Caenorhabditis elegans: one gene and its partners. The protein of the gene in region 1 interacts with the protein of each later gene in a pairwise test. Each region holds a gene or a part of one and is shown in the gene's direction. Other genes may lie near its edges.

Region 1 (6,038 bases):
GTGGATCACGATTTACTACCCTCGTTTCTCATTTCCCTTGATTTTTCTCAAAAACCCTGTCGTGAAAATGTCAAAACCCAGCAGAAAGGTAAAAACGAAAATAGGAAATTGTAAGTTTCGCGAGGTAATTAAAAAAAAAAATTAAAGGACGATCCGTTCTTCAAGTGCTATGCACTGCGGATCTGGGATTCAGGTACACTGCCTGGTGGTGATCCCTCTGGGCTGTAATTTAAGCCACGTCCTAGCCGGGGACTGTGGCCGATAATCCTGTCGTGGATTGCTCCACTTCCCAATAGAGGCTGGGTAAACCTAGGGGGTGAGGCCGGACTTGAACTCGTGACCTCCAGACTGCTAGCGGCCACCACTACCGACTGAGCTATCTGCCCCCTCGCATTTAACTAAAATGCAAATATGCTCACTGGTGTGAGTGTCTAAACAATAAGTTTATTCATAACTGTGAAAAAGATAACCTCCGTGAAAAATTTTCTATATCCTACATACAATAGTTTTTTTTTTAATTTATTATCGTTTTCGAGCTAGTAGTCAATTTTTCAGTTATTTGGCTGAGTGTCCACCATAATATTTTTTCAAAAGTTTTTGAGTTTGTAACTATAATTATTAAACAAGTCTTGCAGAACATTCTTAACAAGCTGTACTTCACACTTTATTGCTTTCACTGTACCGTTTCACCATTCAATTTGGGAAGCGTTCGATCAAAAAGTGGTGACAAGGACACCCATACATGTACACCTTATACACTGCAATGGCGTAATAATTATATGAATCGTGTAGCTGCTGGAGGTTATCGAACAAAAAAAACAGGTTTCAATCCTACTACCAAATATGATATGTTCTCTTCTCCTCTATTATCACTATTATCACCCATCATCATGTATCATTTTTCTCACTTTTACGTCAAGACCATAACCGATTTATGACTTCTCAACGCTGATTTACAGCCAACCTAACGGAAAGTATTCGGCTATAAAATGATCAGGTATGTGTGTACGTGTGTTGACAGGAATGAGTTATCAGTGTGGTGGAATTCGCAGTGAGGAATACAATACAAACATGGTTAAATCGAAAATTTCCTGGAATTTTAGTGCTAGCTGAAGATGTTTTAAGTGCCCTAACATACAGTTTCGCAACAGGTCTTTGATTCTGATCTAGTACCGTTATACTTAAAAACATAAGCGGTAGAATAGGAATAAAATAATTATCATTGGTTTTGATGATAAGAACAGTTTTTGTTTCTTTGCGTGTGCACTTTCACAGCTCGGCAACCCCACATTTGTGACTCAACGTGTTTGTGCAAAATGAAATGTTCGATTTTTTCTACATTAGTTTTTTTTTGAAACTTTAAAATATGTTCTTTCTAACTGACGTTGAGATTAGTTCATCCCCTTTTTAACTGACGACTCAATTTATAAAATAATAACTTGCATCACCATATTATCTCTGCATAATTAAAAATGTTTCTTTTATAATAGTTTTAGTGCAGGTTTTCAGTTCTTTAGAGAATATCATCACAATTTAATTAGGTATCCCAGAATTTGCGTTAGAAAAGGAAATATAATTATTAGGAGAAAAATAGATTTTTCAAAACTTCAAGTAAGGTCGTTTGACGGCGACAATCCTTTTTCTCAATTTTTCAGCAGATTTGTTGCAGATTTTTAGTACTTTCTGAAAATAATTTTAAGATCTCAGCCAGATTTAGTATTATGGCAAATATTATTTTTTGGCGATTTTTTAAAATTTTCTCAAAATTCAAACGTAGAAATTATATTTTTCTCCGATGTTTCAAAAAAGTTTTTTTAAAACAATTTGTTTTCATCTTTTCTCGAATGTTTTTTGTAGTGTTGTTGACAATATATAAGTTATCCGAATGCTCTCTTGTTAAATTAATAAGTGCAGGGTAAAAAACTGCTTATTTCAAGGGTTAAATTTTGTGTTCTGGTTAATAGTATTTTAAACCCTACAATTTCTTTTTGCCCTATTCAAAAACTATTGCAGTTCAAATCGAAACCTTACACTTCATGAAAGTTTAACTAAACTGCGATGACCAAAACAAACATTTTGCATATTATACATTTTGTACGCCGCAACACATCCCAACTCAAATAACTGATCAAAACTTGTAGAGCACTTTCCGATACTCCTCTGCTCGAGGACATGATCTCCCCAGACTCGAAATTTGTGGGTGAAGCTCTCGAACAGAAGGATGTTAGGACTGTATTTGTCTCGGCGAAGGAAGGTTGGAGTCTTAATTATCTTGAGAATTTTACTGTTTTTTTTTTCAGACAACGAAGAACGCGAAAACCGGGTAGTCTTATTGTTAGGACCAACAAGTTCTCAAAAGTCAGAACTTATCGATTTTTTGTGTAATTATTTTTATGGAGTGGATTCAATGGATCAAAGGAGATTTCACATTTCCAATGAAGTATTACAATTGTAATATGAAAAAGTAAGTATTGAATTGCAGAAATTCAACTCGGAAACTCCTACAAAACCTGTACAGTGCTATATTTTTAACGAAACAAAAATGTCGGTTCGTCCTGTAATTCTGGATATGATCGCGTGTGGAGATACATAGTAGGTTTTTTTTTCAAAATTGGGAAAAAATCATAAAAGTTGCAAATTCCAATGAGCATAATAAATTATTCTTAGAATTAATGTTAAAACAAGAAATAGGATATCTACCGACTTTGGGTTTCTGGTACAAATTAAAATTAAATTAAAACTAAATTGGCCAAAACTTTACCATTTTCTTGAAACTTAGAGCAGTGTCAAATGTTCAAACCCAGTTATGTATTTAATGTACTATTGAATGTAGGCTCTTATTGGGAACAAAAGGACCGTCCCTCTAAGTCCCTCATAGCAGTCATAATCAAATGTACAATTTTGCTGTGGCGATGGAGAGGTCCATGTCATTTAACCACTGTCTTCTACCATTAGGCCAACAACAGGTCGTAAAATCTCGACTTGTTATCTGGTCGTAAATCAAAGTAAATGTAAACAGGACTAAAAAGAACTCTTCTTGTTTTATAAGGTGTTCAATAGTTTTTGGGGTTTCTAGGGACCTTACTTTTAGATTTCTATAGGTTTTGAATTCATTATTTCGAAATTATATGATTTAAATTATCGGCAACTCTTCTGTTCAAAATTCTAAAATTGCAAAAATTTTAATTGTTGAAGATTTCATAATAGGAGCATAGCTTACGTTTTGCATTTTCTCAGCCATTTTTTTGTGTGTTTTTTAACACTTTATTGAAAATCTTATACTATTTTGTTTTTTTTTAAATACGTGATAATCATTTTATTCCTTCCAGATAAATGATCCTAGTAGTTTAAATAGCCGTACGACGGGTGTTTCTTTTTACAAATTTAGCCAGAACTTGTAAAATCCTCCTCTGTTAGGAGCTTTTATGATGATAATATCTGTCTACTTTGGTTAATCTACTAAATTAAAAAAAATACATAATGTATTTCAATTGTTTATTGCAATGTATTTCAAAATTTTTTAACCACTAACTTTACGAAAAATGCAGAAAACTCTTAAGACAGTAATTTTTACAGTACAAAAAATATACAACTTGGATTAAAAAAATACAATAATAATTAAATTTCAGTGATGGTTTCGATTCGCCATCTTTAATACATAAATGGCTTCTTAACAATTGGAAGATGAGACTGGACGTTATTGCAATTGTGTTCTCACAGTTGCACAGAATGAGCATGCACGAAGAAGACGAACTGCAACAGGTATCTAGAACTTGACTTCAGATCCTACTTTCACATTTCCAGGTTCTCTCCAATCTTCCAGAACATGTACGCAACAGTATTGTTGTGTTCATCACAGCGTCCGACGGCTCCAGAACTTTCGAGCCTCTTTTACGAAGATTCGGTTTATCAGAGTGTCCCAAGTTCACTATCAACACGTCTTGTACATTTCAAAAACAAATGGGTGAGTGTGATTGAAATTTTTGTATTGATTCAGCGTTTGCATAGCTTTCTCGCGCCGTGTTAAAAGTTGTAAACAGACCGAATAGTTTTTGGCATTGAGTGCTCTCGATAAGAATTATCACTTTCCATCTCTCTCCATTTTTCGCCCTCTTTTCTCGTAAAACGTGACGACCATTTAAATCAAACATTTTCGGGCTGGCGAATCGCTAGAAAAATAAACTGCCAATCCGGCGATATTTGTTTTTTCCTGTACCTACCAGTGTGGGAATTGCAAAGAAAACGTTCTAATAATTTCAGAAGATCGGCTGAATGACGAACATCGGAGGAGATATTGGAAAATGTCTGTAAATCAATTCGATTCTTTCATGGAGAAAGTACAGGTACTTTTCAATGGCACTTTTTTGCCTAAATAGGAGATATTTACAATTTGGACCTGGTATCTTTTGAAGGCTTGAAATTGTTTGATTTCTCAGCCAGCTAATTGTTCAAAACTTTCAACTGATATGTAGTTGATAATTTGTAAACAAAAGTGGAGTATAGAAACGTTTTTGTATTGCCTCAAAATACTCATAATAGCTCCCAAAACCTATCGTGATGAAACATTGCAAAAAAATTCACAACTCTTTTTAACTTAAAGGTGGAATAGCGCCAGTGGGGATTTTGTCTAAATGTACTTAAAATTACCCGAAACAACCGAATATCATAATAATACACTCCAAAAATTTTAGGTTTTTCGTAATTTTCAGTCAAAGTTTTGGCAAGTTGTCAAAATTTTCAAAAATACGAGCTTTTGAGGAAATCCAAAGCAATTCCGCATGTTTCGACACCTCCGATGCTTTCATACAAAAAATTTAAACAAAATTAAAACATAAAAAATGTCGAAAAAAAATTTTTTTTTGGTCGACTTCCAAAAATATGAATGGCAAAAACTGAGTAATTTCCACTCTTTGACAGTACATAAAAAATTTTCAAAAAATGTTTGAAAAGTTTTATCATGATATTTGGTCATTTTGGGACCAAAGGAGTGGTTTTTAACAATTTCCAAACAATATTTACTTTGTGGATAGTGGTACATTTTCAGCCAAGAAGTATTGCAATTTTGGTGTCTAAAAACTACTAAACTTAAGAAAATTTTTAAATTTCAGGAAACCACCCCAATCACAATCTCGGGTCTCCCATTTGTGGATGATGGTATCTATGGAGTTCAGGAGTCTGGACAAAACTCGTCAAGAAGCAGTGTTTACTCCTCTAGCAAGTAGGTTGCAGTTCTTTTTTTTTCATTCCATTACATTTCCGCTTTCATAAACTAACACTCATTCTCACTCTATTATTAGATCCACAGTTATCGAAGTGGAGCAAAGCTCGAGGCAACAACAAGTTGGCCGACCGACGGAATCACCACCTCTACCACCTCCCCCACTTCCACTATCCAATCCACCTGCCAAACCAACACCCCCACCTCCACCACCAAAGCCGACAATTCGTCCGCCACCTATTCCGGCATCTCCGCCTCCAAGACCGCCGGCAAGTGAGCCTGTTGGCATACCGCTGTACAGTGAGAAGCAGCATCAACAACAACTTCGTCCAACGACGGCCGTCTCGCCGCCAAAGCCTCCAAGTTTCGCGCCGCCTGTACCGCCTGCTGCTGCTCTAATCACTGACACTTCGACCACCACAAACGCTCTAACAAACGCCATGTTCGAACAATTGAAGCAGTCTAGGTATTTAAAAAAAAAAAACTTTATCAGTATACATATAGACCGTACTAGAATTAACTAACAATGACTTTTTTGTTTTGAATGAAAAAACTTAAACTTTCCACTCAAACATTGAAAAGAAGATAGTAATTTTGTTGCTTTCAAGCTTCTATCGTGGGTTTGAAGCTCAAATGCATGTAGAGAAAAATGAGAAAAATCAAAATAAAGAATTATCAAAACAGAAATATTAACTAACAATTAAAGATTGTAGTAAAATTAAAAAAAATAAACAATTTTTAAAAATTTTTTACTAGCTAGCCACAAAGTAGACAAACAATTACGATAGTTTTCTGTATACTAATTTGAGTACACTGCATA
Region 2 (5,361 bases), on another chromosome or scaffold:
TTTTAAATCAACCATTTGAAAGTTGTAAATTTTATGGGAAACAGAGAAAAGACTAAGGCTTCATAGTGCAACCTTATAACTATTAGTGATCGAAACAGCAGAAAAGAGAGGGAAACCATATTTCATATGTTTTACAAATCCTCCTACTTTTTAAATTTGATTCGAAATCTACGTATTTTTTCAAAAACTGAGGATGTCCCGTCATTAAAATCAGGAAGAATCATGTGCACCATGTTTTCGAGTCATCGACAAAAAATAAACCTTTGCATTTTTTAATTGTTAACGTCATCGCACTTTTGAGTAGTATTCATTTCGTGTAAATAAATTTCTAACGAGAATTTTTTATTGGCTTTTAGCTTGATTCTTAATTTTTCTGGAGGATCACATTTCATATTCCACTTGAAAATTATTCCGTTTGAAATTGACCATATTAGTTTTGAAAAAGCATTTTGTTTGCTGACTTGAATTATTTTCTTGGATCTAGTTATTCTGTTCAAAATCTAGCGGAAATTTTAGTTTTCACAATTTTTTTTGAAAGCTGTAACTATATTGAACTTGAAACTTCCTTATGGTAGCTTTCTTTTTTTTTGTCTCCGCTTTCCTCCTAACTCACTAAAAACTCCATTCATACATTACCACAAAATTTCAAATTTCAAAAGCTCTTTCACTGCAAACCAAGTAGCATTTGTGTTAGTTTCGGTTTGATGTTCAAAAAATTGTCTTTTTGAAGCTATTTAGCCTGTTTGATATCCACGTGAGAAAATACTAGTTATCCGTTTATTTTCAATTTGTGATGTGATAGACATTGTTTTTCTTATCAAATCACAAATTAAAAAATAAAGTTAGAGCTCTTCGATTAGTAGTTCCCTCCGGTATTCCCCCAATTAGCATAGGCTCTCTCACCAACCAAAAACTTCAGCTTTTCGTTTCTTTTTTCTTCTTTCATTCTCATTGACTAACGACGTGAAAGTTTTGATTGATTTGTCTTTCTTCTTCTCTTTTAGTAGTACAATCAAACTCCCAAGAGTCCCTTTCTCCTTCCAGCTTTTTCTTCCACACTTTTCCATATCTTTCTTCTCATTTCGAATGCATGTCCCTTTTTCCATTTACGTATTGCATTCTGTCCCTCCACATCCTCCATTTTTTGCTGGGTTGTTTTATTCTCTCGTTTCTGAATTTACTTACCACTTCTTTCCAATCGAAAACATAAATTCTTTACTTTTCTCTCAAGACCGAAATTTCCGAGTCCAGAAGCCAGAAGGGGCTCAGTTTCCCAGTTCAGACCTTTTAAAGATATTGACTTAAAGTGAGACTTGAAGAGCTTGTTGACTTTATGACTTTGTGTAGCATCTTGGAAATGCATATGAACAAAACTAAATGCCTCAAGGCAAGATATGTTTTTGATCAATGAGTAGCTCTCATTTTATTCATGAATCATAGTCAGCCATAATCAAAAAACTACCCAAACAACAAATTGTAAGATCACCTTAGAAACTTTGAATAACAGGAATAGGCATTTCGTGATTTCTTTCCAAAAGCTAAATCTTTTTTCATTATACTTACTTGTTTATTTTCAATTAGGAAATTTTTCAATAAATTAAATTATAATATTTTATCAGACGTTCAAGTGATCGAATGTTTCATTTATCATGATATTTAAAAAGTTTAAACTTTTATTTCGGATGGTTGCATTTAATTATGTATATCTTTATTTTGAACCGCATTTATATAATTCTTCTATCAAAGATTACAAGCAATCACCTCATTTTCCGGTCATCAGCCATGTAATTTGGAGGTGAATTGGCTAAAGTTGTTATCAGAAACTAGGCTTTTTGCTGTTTCATATAATTTGAAAAAGCTAATTGTAATTCAAACCAATATTATTCCAAATATTTGCTTGTCACAAACTGGCCAAACTCGGGAGAACATGCATAGTCTTCCAATTCTGAAAATGGATGTTTAGTCAATCCAGTGTGTGCCCTTCTTTTCCTTCGTGGCTCTCATTCCTATCAAGTTTCTCCGAAATCTGTGTCTTCTTCCATAAACGTCATTGTTCTTCGTTTCGGCGTGCTCCCTCAATCGTGAAATTGTTGTCATTTTGTTTAGGTGCCGAAAATTTGATTCACGGATTCTCTCAAGCCAATAAATGTTGACAAGACCTTCTTAAATTTTTTTCTTGTTTTCTTTCTTTCTTTCGTATCTGAAAAGTTTTAAGGTACCAATAAATACGAAAACAACGTCGAATATCGTTTCCCCGTGTAGCCGGGGCGGTTTTGAAAGTTTGAAAAAACGGGGATGTCGGCTCGGCGCGGCGCTCCCGGCGGCCAACGGCATCCCCGTCCGTATGCCGTTGAGCCAACTGTCGATATCAATGGGTTGGTACTTCCAGCTGATATGAGTGATGAGCTTAAAGGGCTTAATGTGGGAATTGATGAAAAGACTATAGAGGTAATAGTTGATGCAGAAGAAGTTTGATTGAAAGATGTGTTTGAGATAAATTTAGGAAATGAAAAAAAGTTGTCTCTTAAATTTATAAATGTTTCGTTTCAGTCATTGGAATCCACCAGAAGAATGTTGGCTCTTTGCGAAGAAAGTAAAGAGGCTGGAATCAAAACTTTGGTTATGCTCGATGATCAAGGAGGTCAGTCATCAAACTTCTAGACTATTAAATACATTCTTGTGGTTTTCAGAACAACTTGAGCGTTGCGAAGGTGCTCTTGATACAATCAATCAGGACATGAAAGAAGCAGAAGATCATTTGAAAGGAATGGAAAAATGTTGTGGTTTGTGTGTATTGCCATGGAACAAGACCGATGACTTTGAAAAGACGGAATTTGCAAAAGCATGGAAGAAAGATGATGATGGAGGTGTTATCTCTGATCAGCCAAGGATCACTGTTGGAGATTCATCGATGGGACCTCAAGGAGGATATATTACCAAGTAAGTTTTATTAGAATAAGATAACATTTCAATTGTTTCATTGAAGGATCACTAATGATGCACGAGAAGATGAAATGGACGAGAATGTTCAACAAGTTTCAACAATGGTCGGCAATTTGCGTAACATGGCAATTGATATGAGCACAGAAGTTTCCAACCAGAATAGACAACTCGACAGAATTCATGACAAGGTAAGTGTAATGATAATTTGAATTTTCAAAGCATAACAAGAAAATTTGCAAAAACCTAATTTAGATTGAAAATGTATTGATCGAACATTATGTCACTATGAGAAACTAATTCTAATATTTTTCCTTGAAAACTTTATTGAGAAATGTTCGTTTGAAACTTTGTAATCAAAAATAATGATCTATTTTTATACTGGTTCTAGTTGTAATACTTTGAGAAACTCAGTAAACTCGGGAGAATCTAAATCATCGAATATTCTATTTAACTCAATGTTTTTCCAGGCTCAATCCAACGAAGTCCGTGTGGAATCTGCTAACAAGCGTGCGAAGAATCTCATCACAAAATAATATTTTAATGTTTTCAAAACTCTCTGTGTCTCATCTTACCATTCCATTTTCCATTGCATAATTTCTCAAAACTCCCAGTATTTTTCTCCTACTCTTGGACCAGTTGTTTTTTTCGATTGAAAATTCAAAAATTGTTATTCAATCAACAAATTATTTTTTTTTAAATCAAAAAAACACCCATTTCCACAAAAAACTTAAAATATAGCTGAAACTTGAAACACCTGGTAGTTGTGAGTATTTACATTCCCCCATTTATTCATTTTACATGCTTCAGAAATGCCCTAATTTTTTATAATGAAACGAATGTGAATGAACAAAGTATGGATAATAACGAATAAATTATTTAAATACTTGCACTTAACAGAATTTTAAAAATTAATTGATCTTTGAAAATGACGAATAGTCACAAACTATCAATTTTTCTGTGTTTTTGTGGTTTGATGACAGATTACAGCAGTCTATAATTTTTAATCAAATTGCAGGTGGAATGAGTTGTCACAACTTTCAGATGATCAGAATTCGTCTGATTGCATAAATTTCTATTCACTTATATAAACTACGTCTACAATTTTAATTTTGCCGCAGTTGTAAGCAAAAGTCAATTTTTAAGATTATTCTGTAACTAATCTCATTGAAAGTGACGTTTGATGCCAATTGAGTTTCGAATATTATCTATTAATTTATCGCTTATTCGTTTTTTGTTTCAATAATTAAACATTGTTTTATTTAAAAGTTAGGCTTTATTCCACTCAAATGAGCCGAACTAGTCCAATCTATGTAAATATATATATTTGTTGATATTTATATATTTTCCTTTTGTGCCTGAACATCACTTTTTAATCAACGCCAACGCAGATGTTTATTTTTTAGGTTGTAAATAATTCGAGAAATTCCTTCAAAATTCACAGCTCCATTTTTCAATCACGTAATGTTAAACACTTCTGGGGAAACAATTGAACAATCTGTACGGATATTTATGGGCACGTCGGGAGTTATTTCATTTTTTATAAATAGTTTTGGGGTTTATTTAATATGTTATCATCATGGAATGATAGATGATTATCGATATTATCTTCTCTATTTTCAAGTGAGTTTTATTTTCAATTTTATGATGTGGAGGCTCACAAATATAATAATTTGTATTCCAACTTTGAGTTATTTGTTTTCCTTTCGTAAATTTCAAAAAATTCCTTGAAAAAACTTTTCTACTTAAAAAACTAATTTAAAAAAACGAATAGATAGGGGAAGCATTTTTAAAAGAATACAATCAACATAATCAGCTGAGATCTACGGCTTTTTAAAGGTCAATAATTAGTGTGACTGTTTAACTTTGTTGTACCTCGACAGGAAAATTGTTTTTTTTTTAATTTTTAAGTTTCAAGAAGTTATGCAACTTATTAGCGAAGAATAAAAAATATCAAAAATCCAAATTTAGTAACGTACAAATGGGTCTATGCGAAACAAATCAATAATAGGCTAGGCATTATTGCGTTTTTCGATTGTTTTTTTACTAATATAGCAGCATGAAAACAAGTGAAGAATGTTTGACTAATTATGTTCCAGATAATACTTCTGATCTTCGACATTTACTTTTCTATTTTAATGGTGCCGATACCACTTTTCCCAGTCATTGGTGGATATACAATAGGATTTTTATCGAATTTTTTTGGAATATCTACTCATTATCAAATGGTATTTACTCTATGGTGTATTGGAAATACAAACACTTGTATTTTTATAAGCCTTCTTAAAAGACATCAAGTTGTGGCCGCAATTGAACAGGTTCATTTTTTTTTAATTATAACTACCTTATAATGAACTTTCAGAAAAATGTGCTTCCTCGTCAAATGCAAGCATTTTCAAAAATGTCTTCAAATCTATTGCC
Region 3 (6,128 bases), about 15 Mb from region 1:
TTCGGATGAAGTAGTCTTGCGGTTGTGGCAAAACCAATGAGAAGCTAGTTGGGTGTTGGTAAATGCTATCGAGTTCCAGACGCTTTTCTGGAATTACTTTCCTTTCAAAAAATAGAACGACCGATTTTTCTGTTTTTTTTTTTGCTTTATATTTTAAAATTTGCCTCAAAATCACAAGTGTATAATTTATTTGTAATTCCAAGCTCCATGTTTCCATTTCCAATTACCTCATTTATCAACATTTCCCTGATTCATTTCAGTTAAGCCTTTCACATCACTGCCCTAATCTCTTGACACCTTTCTTTGTTTCTCTGCAATGGGAAATTGAATTTGAAATGCGGTTTGGTCAATTTGCAATGCACAATTTGCCGGAACACCTGCTCCTGAGAGCCCAAATGTCATTGACATGCGGGAAGGATTAGGAGATCTTTTTCGAAATTTTTGAATTTCGATTTGCACTGACCAACATTTTGTTTGCATTGACCAAAGCTGCAACTTTCCAACTTTCTAGTTAGACTAGAACAACTCCGAATTTTTCGAATTTTACCCCCTTGTCACCGATTCTCAGTCCCAATGTCACCTTGTCTTAGGTGTACTACCTTTCATTACTAACTTCCGAATACATTTTCTTCGCCTCCTTTTCCCCATTCTTCTTTTTTTTCTACTCAACCTTCCGAGACACGACTACCTATGTGTTGTCGTCGATTTGGCGGGTCACTTGAACTTTTGCGTTTGGCCATGGAAAGATTGGCGAGGCAGGAGGGGGGACAAAAGGAGGCCTGTTTTGCATATTACCTTGAGAAACGTCGGGTACGACAAGCATAGCATTTTTTGGGTAGTTTTTTCTGAGAGTGATTGTAGGGCTTTTTTGGAAGTCCTTTGAAACCAGTATATATATATATATTTTAGTCAGCTTTAGGTTTTTTTTTTTTTTTTTCGGGCCAAGGCAGATGGTGAAGTTAAGGCTAAAATATATGTCAGGGCCAAAAAGTGGAGACCCAGAAAGTTGAGCCTTCAAAAACTAAGCCATTTAGGCTAACTTTTACTTTCTTTATTTAGGCATTTAGGCGGTTGAGCCCTTGAAAGCCGCATCTCCATTTTTTCCGCTCCTTGAGGTTAGGCTTATTTTAAAATCCTTGAGGTCAGGCTTATCATCCTTCAAAGTTTGAGACCAAGAAGGTTAAGCCCCGTAGTTGAAGGATAATTCTGAGCCCACGAACGCCAAGCCCCAAAGAAGCCCAAAGTAATGGCTGGGCACCTGAAGTCTAAGCCTTTAGGCTGCGCTCTTAGCTTAATGCCCTTCTTCAAAAACTGAGTCCCTCGGTACAGACTAAGCTTTTAGGTTACCCTTTAGCTTTTAGGCAAGCTCGGGCCTAATTTCAGGCTTAGCTTCAGACTCAAAATTACGAGATTTCCCTCAACGTAATTCGAAAAAAATTGATTAGACTAGGTATCTCGCGCCGTGCGTATTGTTGTAAACTCTTCATTTTTCGCTCATCAATATCTCCGAAAACCCCGGGACCCCGAGGTCTATCCTAGATAGCAAGATACGCAGACGCACACATGTGTATACATATGCTATTGGGCGAGAAATAGCGTCTCTTCTTTTTCTTCTTCTCTTGGGAGCTACTTTTCGAGGTCCGAGCTGCTGCAGCTCGAGCTGGGTGCTCGAGCTGACCGCGGACCCCACTTCTCGTGACCGCCTATCTTGTTTTTTTCTGTGTTGCTGTTCTCGGATAAATTTGGGATTGGAATGTTTCTTTGGGGTCTAGCCTGTTTCAACGGAAATAAGTGAAAAATTGTTTGCTGATTTTCTTAATTTTTTCACTATTTGCTGATGCTATTTTTGTAAATTCGGTAGCTGAAAATTTCTGGTACCTGGTAACCGTGAACTATACCATATGGAAAAGTTTGAAAATTGGAGGTTTTAGGCCATTTTCGGCTATTAAACTTTTTCCGATTTTTCGAATAATCTAGCACGTTTTAGCGAAATGTTTTTTTTTTGATTAAGCTTGATTTTTTCTATTAATTTCTCAATTTTGCAATAATTTTCTCCACCTTTTTTCAACCTCCCATAGCACTCCAAATACTCTGCTCTTCCACAAAAAATTTACCCCCCCCTCCTGAGCCCCCACAATTATACCTATGCTTCCTTCCGCCTCCCGGTGCCATGAGCACCAACCACAAATTGCTCTCCATTTTTGCTCCACGACACGCCCAACCGTCAACAGCTTAGATTACTGTTTTTGTTCCTATTTACGAACTAAAGTTTTCAATTTTTTTCTCCTTCTCGTTTGTTCGGATCTTTTTTGTGCTGCTCATTGCTGTTAACGTTTTGAGTTTTTTTTCAGACTTCAACTCGAAAAAGTTCCAATTAGTGTTCATAAAAAGAAGGAATCGAGATTGGATTGGATGGTAACAACCTTTTGAAGAAGCGGCGAACAATGAACGACAGTTGCAGTTGGGACCAGCTATGGGTAAGTTTTTATTGAATCCTTGGTAAAAACTAAAATTTAAAATAAGAAAACAGGCTACTAAAATGAAAAAACCGCGGGTCTAAAAAAATGGCCAAAATCACCAAATGTTGAGCTGAATTTTTTACGATTCTAAACCGTGAATCCTCCTTTTTTCCTAGTTCAACATTTCAAAAAATCTACTGATTAAAAGTATGTACATATGTGCCTAAAATTGTAATGTTATGCACTTCACACTGTGAAAAGGTTAGAAGGTTTCCACCAAAATGAGAAAAATGGCACGAAACTTCAGATTTTCAAAATTGGGCGCTGCTTCAAATTGCTGAACTTTTAAAAAATATGTCAAAGTTCCAAGATACCAGGATTATGCCTAATTTGGAAAAAATTGGAAATATAAAATTTTTCCAAATTCTGTTACAGCTCTAAAGCACCCACGCCACGAATTTCCAGAACCTAGAATTTTTCGAGACCGCCGCAGTTTCAAAACTCCAAAATTTGACGAAATTCCGGGCCCAACCACTTTAAGGATTATTTTCTGGGAATATGCAAAAATAGGGATTTCAATTGATATCATGGCAAGACGTCCGCAGGGTTTTGCGCCGCACTATATTTTATTTGCAATTGCCTGGGTGGGGCGCGAAACCCGTTAGATGTCGGACCATAATATCATTTGTATCGATATTGGGGTACTGATACTGGCATGATCACAGATGGGCGGTCCCGATACTTTTTGAAATTCGGTAAAATTCCGAAATTTCTAAAGTTCGGATGAATTTGAAATTTGGCGTTTGCCAACTTCTAGTGCAATTTTATAGTTTCGATGTGGAAAATCCTTGGATTTTTCTCAAATTTTTAATAAAATCTAATGATCCCCCCCCTCCCCCCCACCAAACATTTCTACTCGTTCCTACATACATTTTCGCATATCACATATACCTTCTCGTCTCCCGCATACATAATTTAGTAGTTGTAAGCAAGATCGGGGGGTGGCGGGCGATCACAAAGTAACGGCGGAAGCGGCTCACCCACCCTCCGAACACACTTGAATTAGTCATTTGTTGCTAATGTAGAGGTGGATACTAATAAGGAGTGGCGGGAGGTGTATAGAGAGAGTGAAAGAGAGAGAGAGAGAGAGAGAGAGAGACGCAGAATTAAAAAACAGGGTTACCTAGTGGGTTTGCTGGGCGCACGTTAGTATGTTTTGGTAAATGCGCTCTAATTTTAAAATTCAAAAATGGAGTGGAAATTTCTATAATATATTTTAAAAACATTTTTTTTTATTAAATTGGTCCGTTCACACTGATTATGCCTACTTTTTTAAGACGTTGTATTTTTAAAAATTGATTTCAAAAAAATTAATTTTCTACTCTCTCTCAAAAACTTCTCTTAAAAACTACAAAATCCGATTTTTTTTTCGCCAAAGTTTCTTATCAGTTTACAGAAAAATTGTGAACATTTCAGAAATGCCAGTATGACACATCTTTTTGAACATATCAGTTTGTGCTTGAATTTGATTCAGAAAAACAGCAAAATTTTTTTTCTTTCAAATTTTCCCAATACTTCAGCCAGTTTTTTGTCGTTTATAACAGTAATCTACCGCAGAGATACAAGCTTATAGAACTTAAAGCCGAGAGAGTGTGGGACGAGGGGAGAGTGCAGACTGTCTTCAATTTCTAGTGCTCAAAATTTGAGAGCATGTAACTTGAGAAATGAATTCTGAAAATTGGATTTTCTATCGATTTACTCTTTAAATTTTCAATTAGGGCTCCCATGTGGGTGCCGCAAACGCCGCCCTCACGCCGGGATCCGAAATCTTAATAGCAATGCGCGAAACCCAAAAAATGTCGGATCGCGGCGCCTACATGGGAGCCCTGGTTTTAATATAATAATGGTTCCGAACAGTTTTATTAATAAAATTGCACAAACTTTCTGATCGTCGGTTCTCCGCTCTTTCCTTATCGTTCACTTCTCGCCAATTTAATAGGCAAAAGCGGTAGTTGGGGAAGGGCGGAAAGCGCAAATAAACACAGCTTCACTCTCTTTTTCTCCCTTTTTCGGCACCAAAATCGTACTTTCTGTGATTGTATTTGTGTTTAGCAGGGAATTATCAATAAGATTAGAAGGTTTTTTAAAAAGAAAATTTTTTGTGGGGTCCCTGTAACCTTGGATGTAATTTTATAACATGGTGCATCGACTGAAAACTACACTAGCAATTTTTAAGTTTACGGTTGAAACTTGTCACTTTTACATACATATTAAGGGTTATCAGTATATTATTCATTCAAAATTTGTGCTAGTAAAGTGAAATTTTTTCTCTGTTTGAAAAAATATGATAAAATGCCAAAAAGAACGTCATTTCCTATGACAAATTTTGTCCGATGCACCATGTTCAAAAAATTTCTTTGGCTCTCACATATTTTTCAGGTTTTACCGCCAAACTTATCGGACTTTTCCAGTCGATGCACCATGTTCGGATTTATTTTTCTAGACAAAATTATTGCTGCTCCTTCAAAAAATATCGATTTTTTTACCTGATGCACCATGTTCAAGTTTTCTGAGAAAAATTTCTGTAATAGTCGAAAAGTTACCGAGAACATTTCAAAACGAAAATGTCATTCTGCTTCCGTTCCCCATTCCCCCCTACTTCTTCAGCCTTACTGTCAATCCATTTCAATTCTACAACCATTTTTCTTCATCTCCCCTCATTTTCCCTTCCTCCTCCCCCTTCTAACTTCTTCTTCTTCTTCTAGTCGCGTCGTCAATCGGTGTTGGGGTCGACAATTCATTGTATATGTAGATCACATTGCATTCGGATTGCGCCCTTCCGTCCTGGCGATAGTTTCTAGGACGCCGCGCCTTGGACACTCACCGCACCTTTTTTCTGCAAAGTTTGAGTTTTTGCTTGGGGCACTTTAAGTCTGATTTACATGGAAATTAGACTATATGAGCTCTTAATTTAAGTTGCTCAAACTTTTTGAAAGTGTGCTGGTTTTGTATGTACATCTGGTTTCTTAGAGAATCGGAAACAATATACATATTTGCTTTTGAATTAATTATGGAGACAGTTTTTCTAGTTAATTTTCTTTGAAATTTTGAAAGTCGTCAATCTAGGTACCTAATGAGCTCAACCTCGTAGAATGGACAAACATTTGAAAATTCTTGCTCCAATTCTAGCTTTTTCCAAGTACCTTGATTTACATAGTTAGGCTCCACAAATTGACGCAATTCCTCAATTTTCAGTTTTAAACTAAAAGTTTCCCAACTTTGGATTTAGAACTCTGTACAAAAAAGTGAATTTCTTTAAAAATTTAAAGGCAGCTTATGTATAGTTAAAAATTCAGAACCAAAAAAAGTACATTTTATTTTCCTGGTATTTTTGAACAGTTTGTCTTGCCTCGCAAAAGCTTGATTGTAAAACTAAACAAAACTCAAAACCAATTCAAAATTCTCTAGAAGCGTCAGTGCCTACTTACAGCTGCTCCACGGTGCCCTGTGCTCCCAGCTGTTAAAAGTAACAGGGTACCGTCAAATGGAACGTATGCGCCTCCACCCTCTCTCGCTCCGATTCCGCGCCGCTCTCCTCCCGAACAACCACTCATTTATTATGAGTTTTTAATCCATTCCACGTCCTCTTTCCTCTCCGCACCGTTCTGA
Region 4 (4,384 bases), on another chromosome or scaffold:
ATCAAGAAAATTGGGGAAAGGAAGGCGCCGAAATTGGGAGGGCTCGGAGAGCTCAGGAGAGAAATAGCTATGAGATGGAAGGAGGGCGCTAGGCGCCTAGAGATGGGAATGTATGTGGAATAATAGTCTTGCTAGGAAAAAGGACACGGCCTCGTTCTCGTTTTGCCTCGATTTTGCCTCTCTCTCTCTCTCGCAAACAGGCATCAAAGACTACATTGTAGTCTGCTCGTTCTGTAACTTTCATGCCTTTCGAGTTTGTGGAGTGACAATGAGCCTACTTCAAATAATGTTACGAAACTTTAATGTTTGGAATAAGGGGAAACAAACAGCAAATTTTTTTAGAACAAAATTCAGAAAAAAAAACAAATAAATTCGGTTTCAATCGGGCGAATTTGGTTACGGTGTTAATTAAAGGTGCATACGAGTTTCAGATGACAAGGTCTCACCACGAATCACAGTCTCATGGAGTTTTTTGAATTTGTTTTTTTTCTTATTTAATTTTCAACTCCTTTTTATCGATTTTTTCTATTCTTCAGCACGAAATTAAGAATAAATTGAAAAATATTGTAAAAGTAAAATAAAAAAATTTCGCAATAGTTAACCCCAATCTTAAAACTCCTGACTTAAAATTGAATTTAAAGTCATTTCCATGATCCATTTCTGTTAAATACATTTCTTCGTGTATTAGGCAACAAACAACGCTCCAAATAATTTATATTCATCCACTCCTGTTATCATTAATATAAATATTAGTAGGTAACGCGTTTCTGCAGAAATTTCATGTCTATTTTGCATTTTTTAAATTCAATTCTGACCGAAACTCGTGTTTGAACATGGCGCTTTTTTATTTGTTCGTTAGAGCAAATTTGCGATTCCAGTCATTTTATTTGAACGTTCTTCTCCCAGTGGTATTCACTCTTTCGCAACTGTTTTCTATTGATTTCTTCCATTTTTCAGCCAGCTGATTATGTTTCTGGAAGAATGCAAAACTCACTTCAATACGGATTGTCTCTACGAGCTTCTTGGCGTGAAGAAAGATTGCGATGAGAAAGCTCGTAAGTTTTTGGGAAACAAATGTTTAAAGTTAGCGAAAATTTATTTTTTAGTTAAAAAAGGATACTACCGCCAATCAATGCGCTGGCATCCGGATAAATCGAATCTTGTAGAAGAAGATATGCAGACGTACACAACGAAGTTTCAGCTTCTCAACAAAGCTTATCAAATTCTTTCCGATGAAGAGAAAAGGAAAATTTACGATGAAACCGGATCAGTGGACGATGAGGCTGGAGAGCTGAATGAAGATGCCTTGAAAGCATGGAGAATGATTTTCAAAAAGGTGACAAAAGAGGATATCGATAGCTTCATGAAGACGTATCAAGGATCTCGTGAACAGAAGGATGAGCTCGTTGTGCATTACGAGAAATTCAATGGAGATATCGCGAAAATCAGAGAATATGCTATCGGATTCGATGGCGTCGAAGAGTTGAAAGAAGCATTGGATAAACTTATTGATGATGGAGAAATTGAGAAGACGAAGAAATATGAAACGAGCACTTCAGATGTAAGTAATGCAGGTGAAATATGTTAAAATTTATGTTTTATTTCAGAAGAAGATGAAGGCTTACAAGCGTAAGGCTGAGAAGGAGGCAATCGAAGTTGAGAACATGACACAGGTATGTCATGGCAGTAAAATCTGTCACTTTATTTATAAGTTTTATCATTTACCGTTAGGTTACATTTTTAGTATATTCATATGCATAATTATTTAATTTCCAGAACAATTCGGATCTTGTCGCCCTGATTCAAGGTCGCCAGAAGGAACGTGGCACGTCGTTCCTCGATTCACTGGCTGCCAAGTATGCACCTTCTTCCTCCAAAAAGGCAAAGCGGCAGTAATTGAATCAGAATCCGCCCCTTCTTTCGTCACAACTTATCTTTCTTCCTTTCTCTATCTTCTTACTTTTCCGTATTTATGTATTCCCCTTCCATTGGTCACTGCTCCTTGTTCCATACACTCCGGAATTATTTTTTCTAACTTTTGAGATCTCTAATCGTTTCTTTTGAACTCAATTTTTTATAACTGAAAACTTGTGAAATTGCTATGTGGTATTTATAAAAAACATGCTCACTTCTTATTTTGTGTTATTTTGTTTTTATGCCAAAAGTTGTGCCCAACTTTTGAATATCTTCTTTTCGTTTTCTCGTCGCCAAGTTTTCAATATCCGACGAAAGGAAATTGAATTTATATCTCCTCAAGTGGAAAATGGAGAAAATTTTGGCAGTTCTCAGTCGACCAGCAAGTGAAAAATTGCATTTCTGTGCTTATTTTTCTTCCATCTTACAAACTTATCAATTTCCATTTGATTTCAGATGTCTGATTTCGAGGAGACTATTCGCCGTCTACAGTCAGAGAAAGGAGTCGTTGGAATTATTGTTGTCGATTCAGCCGGTACGTTTTCCTAGATAATTCTATCCTGAAAATTGTTTAGAAATGTAAAATCAAAATTAAAAAAAAAACAAAATTAATAGAAATTGTAAAAGTTTAGAAACTAGAAAGTAACATTTAGAAAAGTTAGTGTGGTCTCAGCCGAATGGGAATTACCACCAAACCTTGACAACTAATTTTCCATAAGCTTTGACCAATAAACAATAACTGTTTTCCATGAAACTAGATATTTTTCAGGCCGAGTTATTCATTCGACAATCGACAGCGACGCCACCCAGTCTCACACCGCATTCCTGCAGCAGTTATGTGAGAAGACAAAGACTTCCATTCGTGAACTCGATTCGAGCAATGATCTAACATTCCTGAGGCTTCGAACGAAGAAGAACGAAATCATGATTGCTCCAGACAAGGATCACGTCATTATGGTTATCAAGGACCTCTCGTAAAAACTGGGACCAACATTCAAAAATAATGAAAAAGCATTATATCTTTCTACCCTGCTTGTGCGATTTTAATTTATATCAGATATTTTTTCCAAATAAACGGCTTATATGCAGTTGTTTTTTCTTTTGAAAATGCTTAGAACAGTGTCCCTCCACGTAGTAAAAATACGTCCGTAGCAAAAGAGTAAAACGTAGTAAAACATCCACGTAGTAAAAGATAAGGTAGTAAAAAAGTATTTTCCGTAGTAAAAGATCTATGTGGTCAAATCGTAGTAAAAGATATCACGTAGTAAAAGAGCTAACTGTAGTAAAAGATCTAGATGCGGAATTCGTAGTAAAAGAGATTCCGTAGTAAAAGAGATGTTGTAGTAAAAGAGATACGTAGTAAAAGATCAAGTAGTAAAACAGTATTTGCCCAATTTTTGCCTCACCCTCCGTATTCGCCAAACTTGGTTCCTACTAACTACTATCTGTTCCGTTCTCTAAAATCACCTTGCCAGGCATAAGTTTCATGATCGAAAGGTCGTCGAAACGTGATTGGACGACTTTCTACTTTACCTCTCAGAAGTTCTGTGCGGAGGGTATTGCTTAGCTTCCGTTGCGTTGGCAAGAAGTCATAGGCACTAATGATGAATATATCACCCATTGAATCTTGTTCGCTTTGAATAAATACTCTCCAAAAAAAAAAAATTTTGCAACAAAAAAAAACAATTTTTTTCAATCTGTCGTTGGAAAATTGGTGGTATTAATAATCGTATAGTACTACCGTACGCCTGGAGTATTTCAAAACAATATTTTATTTTTGAAACAGTCAAAAATTATGCCGAACAAACTTGAAGAAACCAAATGATAATTAGCATGAAATGAAAATGCAAGACAAGAAAAACATGGAAAGAGCAAGCAATAAAATGTAGCCTAAACAGAAAAAATACAAATTTGTCACTACCATACAAGAACCATACAAGAATTAATAAAGTGAAAACTCAAATAAATAAACACAATCAAATTTAAAGAACTTAGTCGCCTTTGCGAGAATGCACGTCATCAGTCACGAGGATACATGTGGCTGGAATTCTGAAATAAAAATCAAAATAATTTTCATTATTAATTTCCATAGATAGTGATGCTAATCTAACTTGGGAAATATTTGTTTTGCCATCAAGAACTGAAACTCACTAGTCCTCATGATTGATATCCTCTTCTCTTTTCATGTGATGTTGGTAGTTAAGCTCAATGATCTCATGATCTTCAGTGTTAGGAGTCTTCGAGTCTTTTGCAGCAATAGAACAGCATTTGGATACTTCTATAAAAATCTGCGTTCCAAGGCACATTGGAAGTAGTTCCGCGCTCAAAGTTCTAACACTTCGATAAGCTTTTTGAGAAGTAAGTTTGGCGATGCAATCAGCCCAGAATTTACAATTGTTCTCAACCATCGGCTTCGTCGTCTTCAAATCAGTTATAAGTTGCTGAAAAAGTGTGACTATATTGAGAAAAT

What was found.
Region 2: the proteins of tag-343 (region 1) and ric-4 interact in a two-hybrid assay, tested with the Caenorhabditis elegans proteins (one large-scale study listed by BioGRID).
Region 3: the proteins of tag-343 (region 1) and toca-1 interact in a two-hybrid assay, tested with the Caenorhabditis elegans proteins (one large-scale study listed by BioGRID).
Region 4: the proteins of tag-343 (region 1) and dyrb-1 interact in a two-hybrid assay, tested with the Caenorhabditis elegans proteins (one large-scale study listed by BioGRID).

The regions. Positions count from the first base shown.
Region 1 is NC_003284.9:16,670,867-16,676,904, reverse strand, and holds the start of tag-343 (RNA polymerase II-associated factor 1 homolog), read left to right. Parts: upstream 1-2,172; coding exon 2,173-2,254; intron 2,255-2,300; coding exon 2,301-2,440; intron 2,441-2,482; coding exon 2,483-2,592; intron 2,593-3,629; coding exon 3,630-3,762; intron 3,763-3,804; coding exon 3,805-3,964; intron 3,965-4,260; coding exon 4,261-4,343; intron 4,344-5,108; coding exon 5,109-5,218; intron 5,219-5,297; coding exon 5,298-5,684; intron 5,685-6,038.
Region 2 is NC_003283.11:10,259,598-10,264,958, reverse strand, and holds ric-4 (Synaptosomal-associated protein), read left to right. Parts: upstream 1-2,215; 5' UTR 2,216-2,295; coding exon 2,296-2,448; intron 2,449-2,550; coding exon 2,551-2,641; intron 2,642-2,690; coding exon 2,691-2,940; intron 2,941-2,986; coding exon 2,987-3,131; intron 3,132-3,410; coding exon 3,411-3,476; 3' UTR 3,477-3,828; downstream 3,829-5,361. Other genes in the region: sri-18 (Serpentine Receptor, class T), read left to right, coding at 4,405-4,563, 5,040-5,258, 5,303-5,361.
Region 3 is NC_003284.9:1,517,711-1,523,838, reverse strand, and holds the start of toca-1 (Transducer of Cdc42-dependent actin assembly protein 1 homolog), read left to right. Parts: upstream 1-2,351; 5' UTR 2,352-2,444; coding exon 2,445-2,477; intron 2,478-6,128. UniProt on the Caenorhabditis elegans protein: Plays a role in protein trafficking, actin organization and embryonic morphogenesis. Potentially acts as a cdc-42 effector. May play a role in hypodermal P-cell nuclear positioning.
Region 4 is NC_003280.10:9,105,132-9,109,515, reverse strand, and holds dyrb-1 (Dynein light chain roadblock), read left to right. Parts: upstream 1-2,370; coding exon 2,371-2,449; intron 2,450-2,683; coding exon 2,684-2,892; 3' UTR 2,893-3,001; downstream 3,002-4,384. Other genes in the region: dnj-23 (J domain-containing protein), read left to right, coding at 968-1,055, 1,107-1,561, 1,608-1,673, 1,777-1,896; T24H10.5 (uncharacterized protein), read right to left, coding at 4,065-4,355.